Tamandua tetradactyla: one gene and its partner. The protein of the gene in region 2 interacts with the protein of the main gene of each other region in a pairwise test. Links are inferred from orthologs where the notes say so. Each region holds a gene or a part of one and is shown on either strand. Other genes may lie near its edges.

What was found.
Region 1: the proteins of CYTH1 (region 2) and CYTIP interact in binary tests that used the Homo sapiens proteins (3 or more experiments, as listed by UniProt). The link is inferred for Tamandua tetradactyla from reciprocal best matches to the Homo sapiens genes CYTH1 and CYTIP.

What each region holds. Positions count from the first base shown.
Region 1 is NC_135329.1:127,771,871-127,779,064, reverse strand, and holds the start of CYTIP (cytohesin-interacting protein), read left to right. Parts: upstream 1-4,094; 5' UTR 4,095-4,204; coding exon 4,205-4,375; intron 4,376-7,194. UniProt on the Homo sapiens protein: By its binding to cytohesin-1 (CYTH1), it modifies activation of ARFs by CYTH1 and its precise function may be to sequester CYTH1 in the cytoplasm.
Region 2 is NC_135332.1:71,097,863-71,105,180, reverse strand, and holds the start of CYTH1 (cytohesin-1), read left to right. Parts: upstream 1-4,262; 5' UTR 4,263-4,881; coding exon 4,882-4,909; intron 4,910-7,318. UniProt on the Homo sapiens protein: Promotes guanine-nucleotide exchange on ARF1, ARF5 and ARF6. Promotes the activation of ARF factors through replacement of GDP with GTP.

The DNA.
Region 1 (7,194 bases), on a different chromosome or scaffold from region 2:
ACAGGAGAAATGGATGGTCCTCCACTTTGGAAACACTCAGGAAGCACTAACTTCTGTAGTTTTCTATCAGTGAAGAGGGAGCAGTCCTAGCGGGCCACCTCTGGAAATCCAGTATCTGGACTTCATGGCAATTTCCCCAGGCTTCTGTTTTGAGAATGAGGTCAGCTATCCAACCATCTTAGATGAAATCCTTCATTTCACAGCCTTTTTGCCCCCTGAGATTTTAGTGAAGTAAAATGTTCATAATGCTTGGCTAAAGGGGAAGTGCCACTGTTTCTGAATCCAGCACAATGCTTTGCCAAACACCTGTATATGTTTCAATATTTGTTATCTCACAGGCCTTCTATTGTGTTTTGAGTCAAAAACCAGGCCAAGGAGATTCTGGGTGGTCATCAGTTTTCGGAGTTCACAGTGCCTTCTACTTTTTACGATAGCCTTAAATATCTCTTTAAGGAGATAAACGTAAGAAAAAATGGGTAGTAATGAATAATTGACACTCTTCCTTTTAAAATGGTTCATTTTATACACTTTAGATTGCAAATGTCATAGAGTATGAGCTGAGATATAGTAGAGGAAATGCTTTATTTCTCTTTGGTAAATCCATAGTATGTGTTAAACAGTGATATTAAACTGCTATCATGCTGAGACTTCACTCATTCATTCACTCATTCATTTGTTTGTCTCTATCTTCCATTATTGGATTCTGATCTTCTTGAGGCAGGGATCACCTTTACATCCCCATAGTGCTAGCAAAATTATTGGAGACAGTAGTATAGAGCAGTTAGCCTTGTCAGCACTGGAAAAGGATGATGTGGATTCTAAGCTTGTCTGTCCTAGATAAGAGCTGTGTGATTTTAGGCAAGTGTGTTATCTCCAGTATCCTTATCTGGAAAACAGAAAGATAAATATAATACCATTATCATGGTTTGTATGAAATTAAACATGTTTAGCACATTGCCTAACTGTTATCATGATTATATGCTTAGTAGTCTATTTAACTTCATCAATTAAATTAATAAAGTAAAAGTAAGGATATTTACAGATGCCTTTACTTTTCTTCCCTCGGTTAACAATCAGCTCATTCATGCATTCATTATTTACTGAGGGTTGAGAACTATTCTAGGAGCTACGGATTCAAATGAACAGTTCTGTTTTCATGAATTTTATGTTCTAGTGGGGGAGGTCAAACAATAAGGAGGTAAATAAATAAACAGAATAACATTAGCTGTAGTTAAGTGCTATCAAGAAAATGAAACCAAGCAACAGAACAGAGAGAGTGGCTACTTTAACTGAGGCAGTCAGAGAAGGCTTCCCTAGTAGATAATATTTAAGCTGGGATTTGAATGGAGAGAGGAAAGAACAAGGCAGATTTCCTGCAGAGGGAATAATACGTGAAGAGGAACTGCTTTCTGTTGGAGGGACAGAAGAAAGGCCAGTGTGACCAGGGGGTAATGTGACGTGAAGTTATAGCAGCTCATAGAACATGCAGGACTTTGCTGGCCAGACCAAGGAGTTTGGTTTTTATTCAAATGCCAAAGAGAAATCATCTAGATCTTGTGTGGGTGTTTGTTGTTTCAGGTACTACACAAAATTCAAGTGCTCAGAGAGGTCTCTTGCTTTCCAAGAAGCTACCTTCTAAAGTCCCAAAGCCCTTCCTGATCCTGCAGAGTTAAACTGCTCCTCCCACCCCCGCATTGGGCAAGAGTTAGATTACCCAAAAACTGAGCACAGGGGCCAATGCGGAGTGTTAGCTAAGGGGAGAAATGGAACATTGTTTCTTGTTTATCTTGAATTTTGATAAAAAATCCAATTGTGAAATGAAACTCGGTCTGGTTATGTGTGTAAGGATTATGGTTTGATCTGATTAATTTCCAGAATCACCTTTCTGAAGCAATGGGGAGGATGAAGGGGATAAAGACAGTCCAGTTATTATAATTTTTCTAAGGCAAATCATAAGAAGTTGAAAACACTAGAACACCATTGCCAGTGAAGGGTTTGAGGTTCTGAAGTCAGATTCAGGTTGAAAGACTAGTGTTTCCCCATATTTTGTCACAATGGACACTTTGGATTGGGGATGTTATCAAAATATTTAATAACTGGTCTGACAGAAGCACTGACAAGAAGAACAGGGAACTGACCAATCAAAATAGACCAGGTTGTAAATATATAATCAATGGGTGTGACCATCTGGTATGCACTGGCTGCATGGTAGTCAATAGACTCTGGTTCCACCCCCCCCATAGATCACATGATTTGATTTGTAAGATTCCACTCGCTAAACACATTTCATAAATTAAATAATAAATAATTTGTTTTCCAATTTCTTAATTAAATGAAAGACATGTATAATTAACATAATTTTTAAACCAGCATGACTCACAAAATTGACATAATTTTAGCCTCCTCCATAAAACATGATGCATTCATTGGCCTATGTTACTGTATATCTGGGAAATGCATAATTTCCACTTGGTATTTTGAAATATTAAAAATATTTACCTCATTTTAAGGGGTGCAAGTGTAGTTCAGTGGTAGAATACTCACCTGCCATGCAGGAGACCTGCGTTCGATTCCCGGCCCATGCGCTTCCCAAAAACAAACAGACGAGCAAAACAAAGAAGAAAAATTCACCAATGGTGCTGCAATAATGGGGTACTCAGATGGAAAAAGAATGAAATGTGACCCCCATCATACAGCACGTCAAAAAAAAATTACCTAACTTTATAAAACTTCTTAGGTGACAGGTGGACTGCTGTCCTCAATAAATAGGACTTAAATGATTAAGTACGGTGGGGTATTTTGGAGATGTTTTAAAAATGCCTATCTATCTAATCCATAAATTGTACATAACTGCTTTTATAATTGATATATTCTTCATTGCCCAAGTTTCCCCTTTGTCTTACGCATACATGCTCCCCACCTGTCCCCTGAAGTTTTGTGTGTTTATAATCCCTCATTTAGATCTTCATATATTTTGGGGAGCATCATTTTGTCCATGTCATAATTCAGCTCCAGTAGTAATGAGTTATGGTGTGGTAGGGTTTTTAAAATTTCTGAATTGGCTCCATTCTTTGAAGAACTGTTAACTAAAGGTTTTACTACTCACATTTGGCAAGCTCCGCTTCAATTGAATTCACTTTGGCTTCCAACGCACTCATGTTCCATTTCAGTTCAAAGACTTTCTAACGCTTTTAAATTCCACTGTTGGCCTTCAAAATGAGTTTGAAAATCATATTTGACTTTTTTGTGCTACATCAAACCTTTTTTTTTTAATTTTTGTTTTGATTCCTCCTTTTACTTGCGTCTGTAGCCATGTCCCTGAAACTAGTTCCCTCAAAACCTACCTCTCCCCACTGCCCATACACAAAACATAGATGAGCCAAACTCTGTGATCTTGAGTGCTTTGTGATGATGTCCTTGAGTCGTATGTTCACGTAGAGACCAGCTGGCGACATCGGTGTGCCACTTTGGTTTGCCCGTTGTCTTCCTGCTCACTCCATTCTTCCTCTGCGACCACCTGCTGATGCGGAGATTCCCTTCCCATTGCACCTTGTTAAAGTAATGGTTGATTTTCACCAGGTCACAGTAGTAGAAGGACAACGATGCTAAATGGTTCCAACCCGAGTGGCAGATATAATGTCTCCTTAATGAACATTAATGAGGTAGGGGGTACCTTTGGAAAAATACATTACAAGGGCTTTGTGAGAGAACATTACAACTGGAACCTGAAATTCTTGTTTAATGTTCACAAGAACTGCGTGTCCGCACATTCTGACTTTTACATTGCACGGCTAATATTTAAGGGAATGGATGAAAAACAAATGGCAGAACTTTGGGAAGTTTTTCTTTCTTCTTTAAAGAAAAAGATGGCAGATGGTGTTTTGATCTTGCCATAGAACATGAAAGCTTAAGAGTTCTGGCTGTTTGAAGGAGAAAAGAATAAATTGATTTTCTTTCATTGTAAAAGCCAGCTTTAAGTTCTCCCAGGGGCTTAAATTAAAAAAAAAAAAAAAAAAGGCACTAAGAAATGGGAGTGAACACCAAGATAGCGTTTGTGTAACAAGTACCTCAAACCACAGAAGTCACATGGGTTCTTTCTGCTTTGCTACTTTTGATTACTTGTGAGAGGGTTAGAGGTTTAGCTTCGCCCTGGCCCGTAAGGCCACTCAACCATGTACCAGCTGGAGTAATTTTTATTCTCACAATGTCTTTACAAAGGCTCATGCAGTCGAGCAGCCATGGCCGTTTGGACTACTGTGTGCCTCCAGCGTGTGACTCTTACTCCCCACTCACAGACAACCTGCAGATGGAGGATAATAGAAGGCTCCAAATGCTGGCAGACGCTGTGGCTACTTTACCTCGGGGACGAAAGCAGGTATGCATTTCTAAAGAGCCTGTGTTCTCACCAGAGTAGAATCATAATGTTTGTCTGACTTCATCCTAGAAATGTTATTTTAGAGGCTTTTAGTGATAAGAGCATGGGTGAGGAAGGAGGCAAGGAGCCCAGAGAAGAGTGGACTAGTCTGAAGGCTTGAGACCAAAATCAAAATTGTTTTTCAAGGCAAAACGTAATAGCAAAGTGTTTCTCTTATTTGAAGAGATGTTCGGGTAAAATGAAAATGGGAATCCTTATGCACACCAAATGTGAAGGTAGTTTGTACAGATACAACCATTAAGAGAATTATTGATCTTTTTTCCCCATTATATCTCCTGTGGACTCTTTCCCTCCCATCCTTATTCCCAGTCTTTGATAGTTACTCATTTCACTTTATAATCAAATGGTAATATTTTTTTTCTTGAGAGCAAGTTTTGTTGGGTAAATACAGTTTCTTCAGCTCTGGGGTGTTTTTTCCATGTGCCTCACGCTATGAGAAATTAGAATTTCTCTTGGGTAAGAGAGGCTAGACCGCAAGGGGAGTGCCAGAAGGGACACCAGGGCTGTCACTTACTAGCTGTGGGATCCTGAGCAAGTCATTTGCTTTTCTAAGCCTCAGTTTTCTTTTTTCTAAAATCAAGATTTATTATAAATAATAGAGTCGCTCTTATGGGTCTCTCATGCTGCCTAAGTGAAGAAACGTGCAGTGTTTAAAACAATGAGGGATGTAGAATATGCGCTCAAGAAAGACTAAATTATGTTATTATTTTTACTGCAATGCATTCCCCTAGGGAGGAAACCTCGTTTGAAAAAATACATATCTAACTGAACTTTTTTTTCATTCTCTGGCTTACAATATGTAAAATAAAAGTAAGCGTAACAACGCTTCAGGTGGTACCCATTTGAATTTAGACATAGCAGTCATACGGAAAATATTTAGAATTGCTTTAAAGCATGAATTTTTGCCCTTAAATCATGCATCTACAACATATGCTCCTCTTAAACCTACTAATTTCAGGATTATAAAATTACAATAGGGTGGGAGAGGCATGATCTTTTTTTGATAAATATCTATTAACTGATTCTTTGATACTTTTCACAATAAAGATAGCACATAGTTGCAATGGTTTGGTTTTTAGCTCCATCTTAATCCAAAGTGCTTACATGATATTAAATTTAATGTGATGATGAACATTCCTATCAATTCACATCCTGTTTGAAAATAAAGCAAGTAAGGCAAGTACCAACATCTTTATTTAGTTTTCAAACACAGAGCTTTCTGTTGTACCTTCTATTTGCCATGCAGCTATCAGGCAAAACGTGGTTCACTTGGTTAGGCTCTGACTTCACCTTTTGATAGACTATTTATTGCTAAAAATAGATAGCGATTTTTGAATTAGGGTGGGAACTTTCCACTCTCCCATCCTCCCTATCTGCAACCTCTTCATCTTATCTATTTCTTTAGCTCATGCTTAGGCATTTCAATGCCATAGATAGTTTCTAAGTACTTAGGAGGGGACAGACATCATGCTAAGTGTAGGAGGTACAAAGAGATGAGAGAACCCATTTCCTGTCCTTATCGGGTTTACAGTCTAGTAGGCTGAGCGACTAGGCACTACAAAGTGAAACAAAGTAAATGATCTAATCCAAGTACAGGTCCTTGAGTACAGCCTAGAGGATGAATATTCCAGAGTTTGGAGAGTAATCCACAGCCAGGGAATAATTAATGGTGAGGCACAGATTCCAGGGATTGTAGGGCATATTTGAGTAGCAGCAAGTTATTAAGTGTGTCAGAAGGACATTGCACGTGTCTGCGTGGGAGGTTCCTCAGAGCCGGGCTGCTTTGCGGAACACTTGGGCACTTCCCGTGAGGAAGTAGTAGTTTGGCCAGCACAGGCAGCCTCTGAAGGATTTTGAGCACTGGAGGGACTTAGGAACTTTATTTTAGAAAAGTGGTATGTGTGTAAATGGGTGGAAAGTAGTGGAAAGGGAGTGACTTGCATTCTTTGGGGAAAGAGAAAATGAGGGAACGGAGGGGAGACAAAAACACTTGAGTATGAAAGGCAATGGCGACAGAAGGGTCTCTCTTTTTAAGCCTGAGTGAAGATAACATGAACTGAGAAAAGGTAATCAGTTGGAGAGGCTGATTTTGGGGAAAAGATAATGATAGGGATTTAGGTATGTGAAATCCCTAAGAAATGCATATATATACACATCCCGATTAATTTATTCATATGTTCTGATCTTTTCTAGGTCTCCCCCAAACCCTTTACATTTTCTTTCCAATGGTAGATCCCTACTGTCTAAACAGCTTTTTCTTATTGTTGTGAAAATTGATTAAAAAAATAGAAACGAAAGAACACCTTGTAGGAGATACTTCTGGTTCTATGCAATTGTCATTGATGGGACCTAATAAAAATTTATCATCACATTTCAGAATTTATCAAATGGATGTTCATTTCCTTTAAGTGGTTTTTAGAGGATTTTTAGAGTGCCACTAATTTGGTAGTGCCTGAATTACAGGCAACAAGATCTTTGTGAGACCATCAAAAGAGCAAGTGTTTCTCTGCCTACTGTTATCTCCAATACCTTCAGGGCTTACGTCAACAATTCATACTTCTTGTTATGGTTGGCTTTGGTTTCTGCAAAACTGTATCCGGTTACCCTGCAGTTTCAGGTTAATCTTTCGAATCACTCAGACTTGTTTAAAATGGATTTCTGTGCATGCATTTATCTGAATACTTGTATTTATAGACGTTAGACACCCCAGTGTGTCTCCTACTTCTGAACATAGGTTTAGAAAAATATCCTGCAATGGA
Region 2 (7,318 bases):
TCCCTTGAGATTATGAATAACAGCAGGTATCCCACTAAAGAGAATCTTTCCCTGAAACATTACATAAATATTTATGTAAATTTTCTTCTAAAGTAAGATCAAGCCATTAAATATTTGAATATTCTTACCTTACCATCACCAGATGGGGTGAAGCTCAGTAAAGGATTAAGGCAATTTGAGGCATTAATTGAAAATGTAAAATGATATTTTATGTCTTGAGTCCAAACACCTGCATCAGAATTCCCTGATTCATGATTTTTAGCCTGAACAGATATAGTGTTTTCTTCTACTTTGTTGTTTTAGTGATGATTATGGGGTCCAGCCAGCCCTCACTCTACTGTCTCATTTAGCCAAACCCCATTCTTTCTCAGGCCTGCATCTGTATCATCATTCTCTTCTGTAATGCTCCATTGTTCTTCCAAATGGTTGTTGAATTTTCTGTACTTTACATTTGAATAAGTACACTGACCTTCCTCTCACAGTCTTGGTATGATAGTTTGTTGCATTTTAGGGGCAGGGCAGGGCAGCGGAATGCCTCAGTTGGCCCAGGATGGCCCCGGGTCCTACCCACTGTCTGAGGAGTTACTACCAGCACCAGCTGCAGACATGAAAATGTCCCTGTGTGGATAGTAAAGTATGTAGCCATTCTCTTTATGAGTGAGTTGATTATATAATTGGGCATGTCAGTAGTTAAATTTCTTCATTAAGGAATTTGAAACATGTATTTTCATTCATTGCTTCATTTTTTAACAATGTTATTTGTTGCGCTAGATTTAGCAAATGCCATGTGATATCGGGCCAGGTATGCCCTACCATGCTGTCAGCTTCGGGGCGGCTGCCTGACCCCCACACCCAGAAGCGGCACAAACCTGTTCTGAAGGCATGGGAAGCTAAGAGCATGGCAGCTCCATTCTTCTTGCCCAGGCCAGAGGGCTTGGAGTCATCCTGGATTTCTTTCTTTCGCACTCTTCATGGAAATCTACCAGCAAGTCTTTGGCTCTTCCACAAGCATAAATACAGCCAGAGCCTAGGCAGTCATTGTCGAAGCTCCCTTGGCACAGCTGTCAGGGCCTCCCAGCTGGGCTCCTGGCTCTAGCCCTTACTCCCCCACCATTTGCTCTTATCCACCAGTGAGCACAGTGTTGTTACAGAGGAGGGCAAGGCACTGCACTTTCCTTGGAAGCCTGGCACTGGCTCCTCATCTCACCTGGGGTAGGCATTTGATTCCTGGAAATGGCCTCTCAGGCCTTGTTCAGGCCTCCCCACTCTGGCCTTACCCCTGCTCCAGCTCCTGGCCTCCTTGCTGTTCCCAGAGAGGTCTGTCCTGACAGTGCCCCTGGCCCTAGTGCTGCGGTGTTTACCACCTGACATACTGCACATTGACTAATTTGCTTGCCTGCTTCACCCGTCTCCCTATAGAGTATAAATGCCACGAGGGTAGGTATTTTTATGTTTACTTCTCTGGTGCAGCACCCATGCCTGGTAGTTACTGCTGAATAAAAATGTGTTTGAGGGCCATGGTGGCTCAGCAGGTAGAGTTCTGGCCTGCCATGCTGGGGACCCAGGTTCGATTCCCAGTGCTTGCCCATGTAAAAAAATAATAATAATAATAAAATAAATAAATTCCCCTTTAAAAAAAAACAACTGAGGGGGGACTCTCTGCGTGGGACATGACTCCCAGGGGTGTGGACCTTCCTGGCAACATGGGACAGAGATCCTGGAATGAGTTGAGACTCAGCATCAAGGGACTGAGAAAAACCCTAGAATGAGCTAAGAATTAACATCAAGGGATTGAGATAAACTTCTCGACCAAAAGGGGGAAGAGTAAAATGAGACAGTGTCAATGGCTGAGAGATTCCAGAGTCGAGAGGTTATCCTGGAGGTTATTCTTACGCATTAAGTAGATATCACCTTGTTGTTCAAGATGTAGTGGAGAGGCTGGAGGGAATTGCCTGAAAATGTAGTGCTGAATTCCAGTAGCCATGTTTCTTGATGATGATCGAACAATGATATAGCTTTCACAATGAGACTCTGTGAATGTGAAAACCTTATGTCTGATGCTCCCTCTAGCTACTATATCAACAGAAGAGTAGAACATATGGAATAAAAATAAATAATAGGGGGAACAAATGTTAAAATAAATTCAGTTTGAAATAGTGGTAAATGAAAGCAAGGGGTAAGGGGTATGGTATGTATAGTCTTTTTTCCTCTATTATCATTTTATTTCTTTTTCTGTTGTCTTTTTATTTCTTTTTCTAAATCGATGCAAATGTACTAAGAAATGATGAATATGCAACTATGTGATGATACTAAGAATTACTGATTGTATATGTAGAATGGAATGATACCTAAATGTTTTGTTTGTTAATTTTTTTAATTAATAAAAAAAGTTAAAAAAAATGTGTTTGAGTGAAAAGAATTGAAGTTTAAGATTCTAGATTTGATTATAACAAGATAGAAACTTCTGTATAACAAAAGATACCACAACTAAAGTTAATATTAAGTAACAGATTGTGATAAAATAATTGCAACATCTAATACAGAGGATTAGTAATCTACAAGTTGATAAGAAAAAAAGACAGTTGATAGAAGAATGAGCAAAGGATGTGGACAGGCAGTTCACAGGAGAGGGAATACACAAATTTACGGCAAGATCACCTGCATCACTGCTAATCAGATGGTAAATGCAAACTGGAAACAATAAGAAGACATCATTTTCCACATATCAGACTGGCAGGAATTAAGTTTGATGCTGCCTGAGCTTGGGAAGCTGTAGGAAAATGGCAGGTGCTTTGGCAGTGTCCACTAAAGCTGGACTTGTCTAGATGTGATGACCTAGCCATTTTGCCTTTGGGTGTCAGCTCCAGAGAAATACTCTCCCATTTGACAGCAGGTAGAGTGTAGAAATGACCTGTCTTCTTGAAAGTTAGGATCATCCTCAGAGAATCAGACCTGGCACCAGAAGATGGGAAGTGCTGATTTGGGAATCATTAAACTCTTAGGTTTTGAAATGGACTGATACTGGGATTCCTTGTGGATGGAGGTCAGAAAGGAGAAGATTTAACTGTTTTTTTGACGTTCTAAGTCAAAGGGTAAAAGGCTGAATTTGTTAGTTGACTCTACAGAAAAAGTATTTAAAAATATATATATGTTTATATTTATTTAACTATTATTAGGCAAGACAGAAAAGGGTGGGATGAGTCTCTGCCCCGTGATGCATCAGCACCTGTGGTCGCCTTCAAATTATGATTGGTGACTCTCCATCTTGCTGTTAGCCTGTGTGTTTCCAGCTCTTTAACAAGTACCAGGGCAAAGGACAGCAGGTTCAGGCTCCCCACCAAAGAGTACAGGCACCTGCGATGCCAACCAAGGCCTAGTGGAGGGGGGTGTTGGCGGACCAGAAGTGAGCATCATGCAGCTGGTCAGTTCTACAGCCAGCAGCCTTCTTTGGACTTTGGCTGAGCCATATAACTTTTGGGATTTCAGTGTCCTTGTCCGTGAATGGACATGAAGACAACACTTGCCTCGCAGAGGTGCATTCAGGAGTAGGTGGGTTAGGCCATGTCAGACTGGGTTCAAAGGAACCCCTCGTAAACAGGACCTCTAATGCAGAGGCATTAGGCACACTTGTTCTCCTTTTATTTGCCACTTGCGAGTATGAATATCTAAGTGAAGAACCAGAATATCATGGAAACTATATCTGTATCCAGCAACTCTACTCCTAAGAATTTTTGTTAAGAAAATAAAGAGATTTTTTGTGCACATGGGTGTTTATTGCAGTGCTGAGAGTGGCAGTAAAATTGGAAACTACTTAAAAGTCTTAAATTAAGGGATTGCCTATTATGTTTATATGGTAAAATACTAAAAGCATGGTTGATGTTCAGTTAGTTGTGGAAAATGTTAGTAAAAATGGTGTTATAAACAGCATGTAGAGTATCTCATTTTTGTTGCAAACAATATATATACAGAGTGAGAACACACACAAATGAAAGTGAACAAGTCTGGGAGGCTGACTCCCCATATGTCATCATCAGTTATCTCTGGATGGTGGGATTGTGTTTTCTTATTATAATGCTTTCTCAATTTTCAATAGTGAACATGTATCATATAATAAGGGTGTGCTGAAAAGATTTTGGGGTAGCACATTAGAAAACAGAATGGTGTTAAAACCGAGTTTATATTGAGAATTTTGCCCTTGAATATTTTTTTTCTCTCTAAAACCTGCCTTCTGCTTTTATTTATTTATTTATTTATTTATCTATTTTACATGGGCAGGCACTGGGAAACGAATCCAGGTCTCCAGCACGGAGGAGAGAACTCTACCACTGAGCCACCGTGGCCCGCCCTGCCTTCTGCTTTTAGCCTGTGACCTCATAACGTGCTGTAATGATTAAGATTTCTTAGTCATTCTCTTAGGAAATGAGCTATCATCCCATGAGACAATCAGGGATTTCAAAGTCCGTTCTGAGAAAGTACTGGAAAGGGGAGAGGAAAGCTGCAGTCGGTGCTGCCGGTGCCACCACTGTAGACGAGCCGAATCTGAGGAAGGCGGGGAAGGGCAGCCTGCCTCCCGCTAAGACCGCCTTGGGAGGGAGGTGGCCCCTGGGCGGGAAGGTGCTCAGCCTGTCTTCAGGAACTGGGTGGTGACCAGGGACTGGGCGGGACGCTCCCTGTGAGCTGGAGGCCGATTGGTCCAGGAGAGCAGCCAGCGATTCCCCTTCAGTTCAGGAAGCAGCACCGAGGTGTCTGGTGGCCAGATAGCCCCACGGGCGCCTCTGGAACCCCTTGACCAACCCTCACGGGAAACTTTGCTCTGACTTGCAGTTCTCCTCTGAAGGACAAGCCTCGTGGGCCTGTAGGGTGCTGCTGTGACAGAGCAAGATGGTTCTTAAAACCCAAGAGGAGGAGGGTAAGGCCAGGTCGCAGCGGGCTGGGATGGAGGCGGCCTCGGGTGTAGGCAGTGTGCTTTCTCTCTGACTCGTGCGTGGAACTAGACCGACAGTTTTACGGGGCCTTTTAGGGGAGGAGCTAAAGACTGATCCACACTCTGGTTTTTATCGTGCTGTTTTCAGGAGAAAGACTGGATAATGAGTTAGTGGTTAGTGAGTTAGTGTGTGTTGGTCCTAGTGCTGGTGGTGGGGAGTGGGTAAAGTAACTGTGTTTTTAAACCAAAGGAAGCTTTTTGTTCCGCTCCACCCCCCAGTCTTTGTCGTTGTTGGGGTCTGGTGACTTCCTGGTGACTTCCTTCTTGGTGACTGTGCCTGTCCTGGGCAGGCCTGGGCTGAATCTGAGTGACAGTCAGAACCCCTGAGAGCTCCAAGAACACCCAGGGGTGAGTCAGTGCTCAAAGGTAGATGTGATAGACCGGCACCAGTGAGGTTCAGGATCAATCATACTCATTTTTAATTTTTTTATTAAATAAAGTGTGATGAAGGGAAAATGCATAGTTTGATTTTCCTCTTTGGTTAAGACTGTTTGAAGCCTTATGGAGTTGATGGACTTCCCCCACATTCTTCACACGCACTCCATAAAAAGTGAGGCTCTGAACAATGGGACCGTAAATCCCATTTATGGGATTTTTTTTTTTGCACAGGCAGGCGCTGGGAAGTGAACCCAGGTCTCCGGCATGGCAGGTGAGAAGTCTGCCTGATGAGCTACCGTGGCCTGCCCCATTTATGGGATTCTAAGTCCCAAAAAACTCTTAAGAAGAACTGTGTCTGACAGCATCCTAGGTTAGGGCTTTCAAACTTTCTGAAGCCATAGGAGTTTTGTGTGTGGATTTGTGTGCATTCTCTTGTGATGCTTTCATCACGTGGTGGTATTTCAAGGCTGTAAGTCAAAACAGCAAGATGATCTTAGCTAGTAAAGAATAATGTGAATCACATTTGAAATAAATCTTAGTAAATATTAGGCTGCATTTTGAAGTGGGTTTTATTAAAATTATAATAAATTTTGGTGGTTCTCTTTATGCTTTTCCTTATCTAATTCACTGTAAGTCATGTATTTTGGAGTTTCATGAACTCTGTGCAGATTGTCTTGGAGAATATCCATGGGGCAGCTTGGAAACTGTATCATCTATGAAAGACTTTGGGAGAGAGGGACATATAGGTGCCTGTCATGCTTTTGCACTTGAAGAGGGGGCAGTAACGAGAGACAATTCTGGGTAAGAGTTGAACTGCCCACTTGGGAGTTTTTGGGTCTGAAAGGTGGGACCACACTTGCTGTCTGCAGCTCAGGGGGATTTGGGAGTGGAAGGGGACACAGTGTGTACTAGGACAGAGCCTCTGGCCACTGTACTGCGACTCTTTCTTACGCAGACCCACCGAGTCCAGGCTGAGAGCCACTGCGGGGTCTAAGCCAGAGGGGTTTGGCCCCAGTTATCCCAGAGGCTGTAAAATCCAAGATGATCTGCCCTCATGTGCGTGCTGGGTTAAATGGTGGCAGTGCTGATTTTTGGGCCAGGAATTTTAGAGATCGGAAATAGGAGTAACAAGCAATTTTGCTCTGAATAAGTCACCTTAAAGAGTTGGTGGTTCTCTCTTTCTGTTCCTCATCCAGGAATTATCCCTCCATGTTGGCTGTTTGGAACAGTGCAGAGGGCAGAACTGCCTTGTTAACCACTGCCCACATAGGTACCTCAGGTGTGATGAGATGTAGAAACGGTAGTTGGGTAGCTGTTAAAGTCAGAGGAACAGTTGGAGTTTGCACTGGCAGTTCCCCAAGATCCCAGGGGAGGAGGGAAGTTAAGCGTCAGCATTATGCTTCCAACAAAGCTGCTTTTACTAGTTTTAGTACCTGAAGAACATGCCTCATTAAGGATCACTGGGGACGTGAAAATCTTCTTGACTGTGGTCAGATCCTTTCCTGCTGTACTAATCTCAGATCCACAGCCTATACAATAAAAGTGTTGCTTTTGCCCCCATCCCCCTTTCCTGGCACCTATGGCGGTCACCTTATATTCCAGTATCATGTATGTATAAGTGGGAGTTAACCAGTGTGAGTAATTTGGCACTGTTTCTATAACTGACGTTAAGTGGTTTGTTTACGATTTTGTTTCATCTTTTTAATGTTTAGTCCCCCTTAATTTGCCTTTGAGCCCTCTCTTGGGAAGAGGGATTTAGGCTCTGTGATGTGGGACAAGAGGCCCTTCGCAAGCAGCTGCCAAGCTCTGTTTCTGGTGCCCACCCAGTTCTGGGTGCACCTGGGCCCTCGTCACCTGATTACTTACTGGCCCCCAACCCTTGTTTGGTGTTTGCCATCCTCTCTGCTTGGAATCTGTTTGGGGCTCCATTCATCCTTCCTGGTCGGCACCACTGTC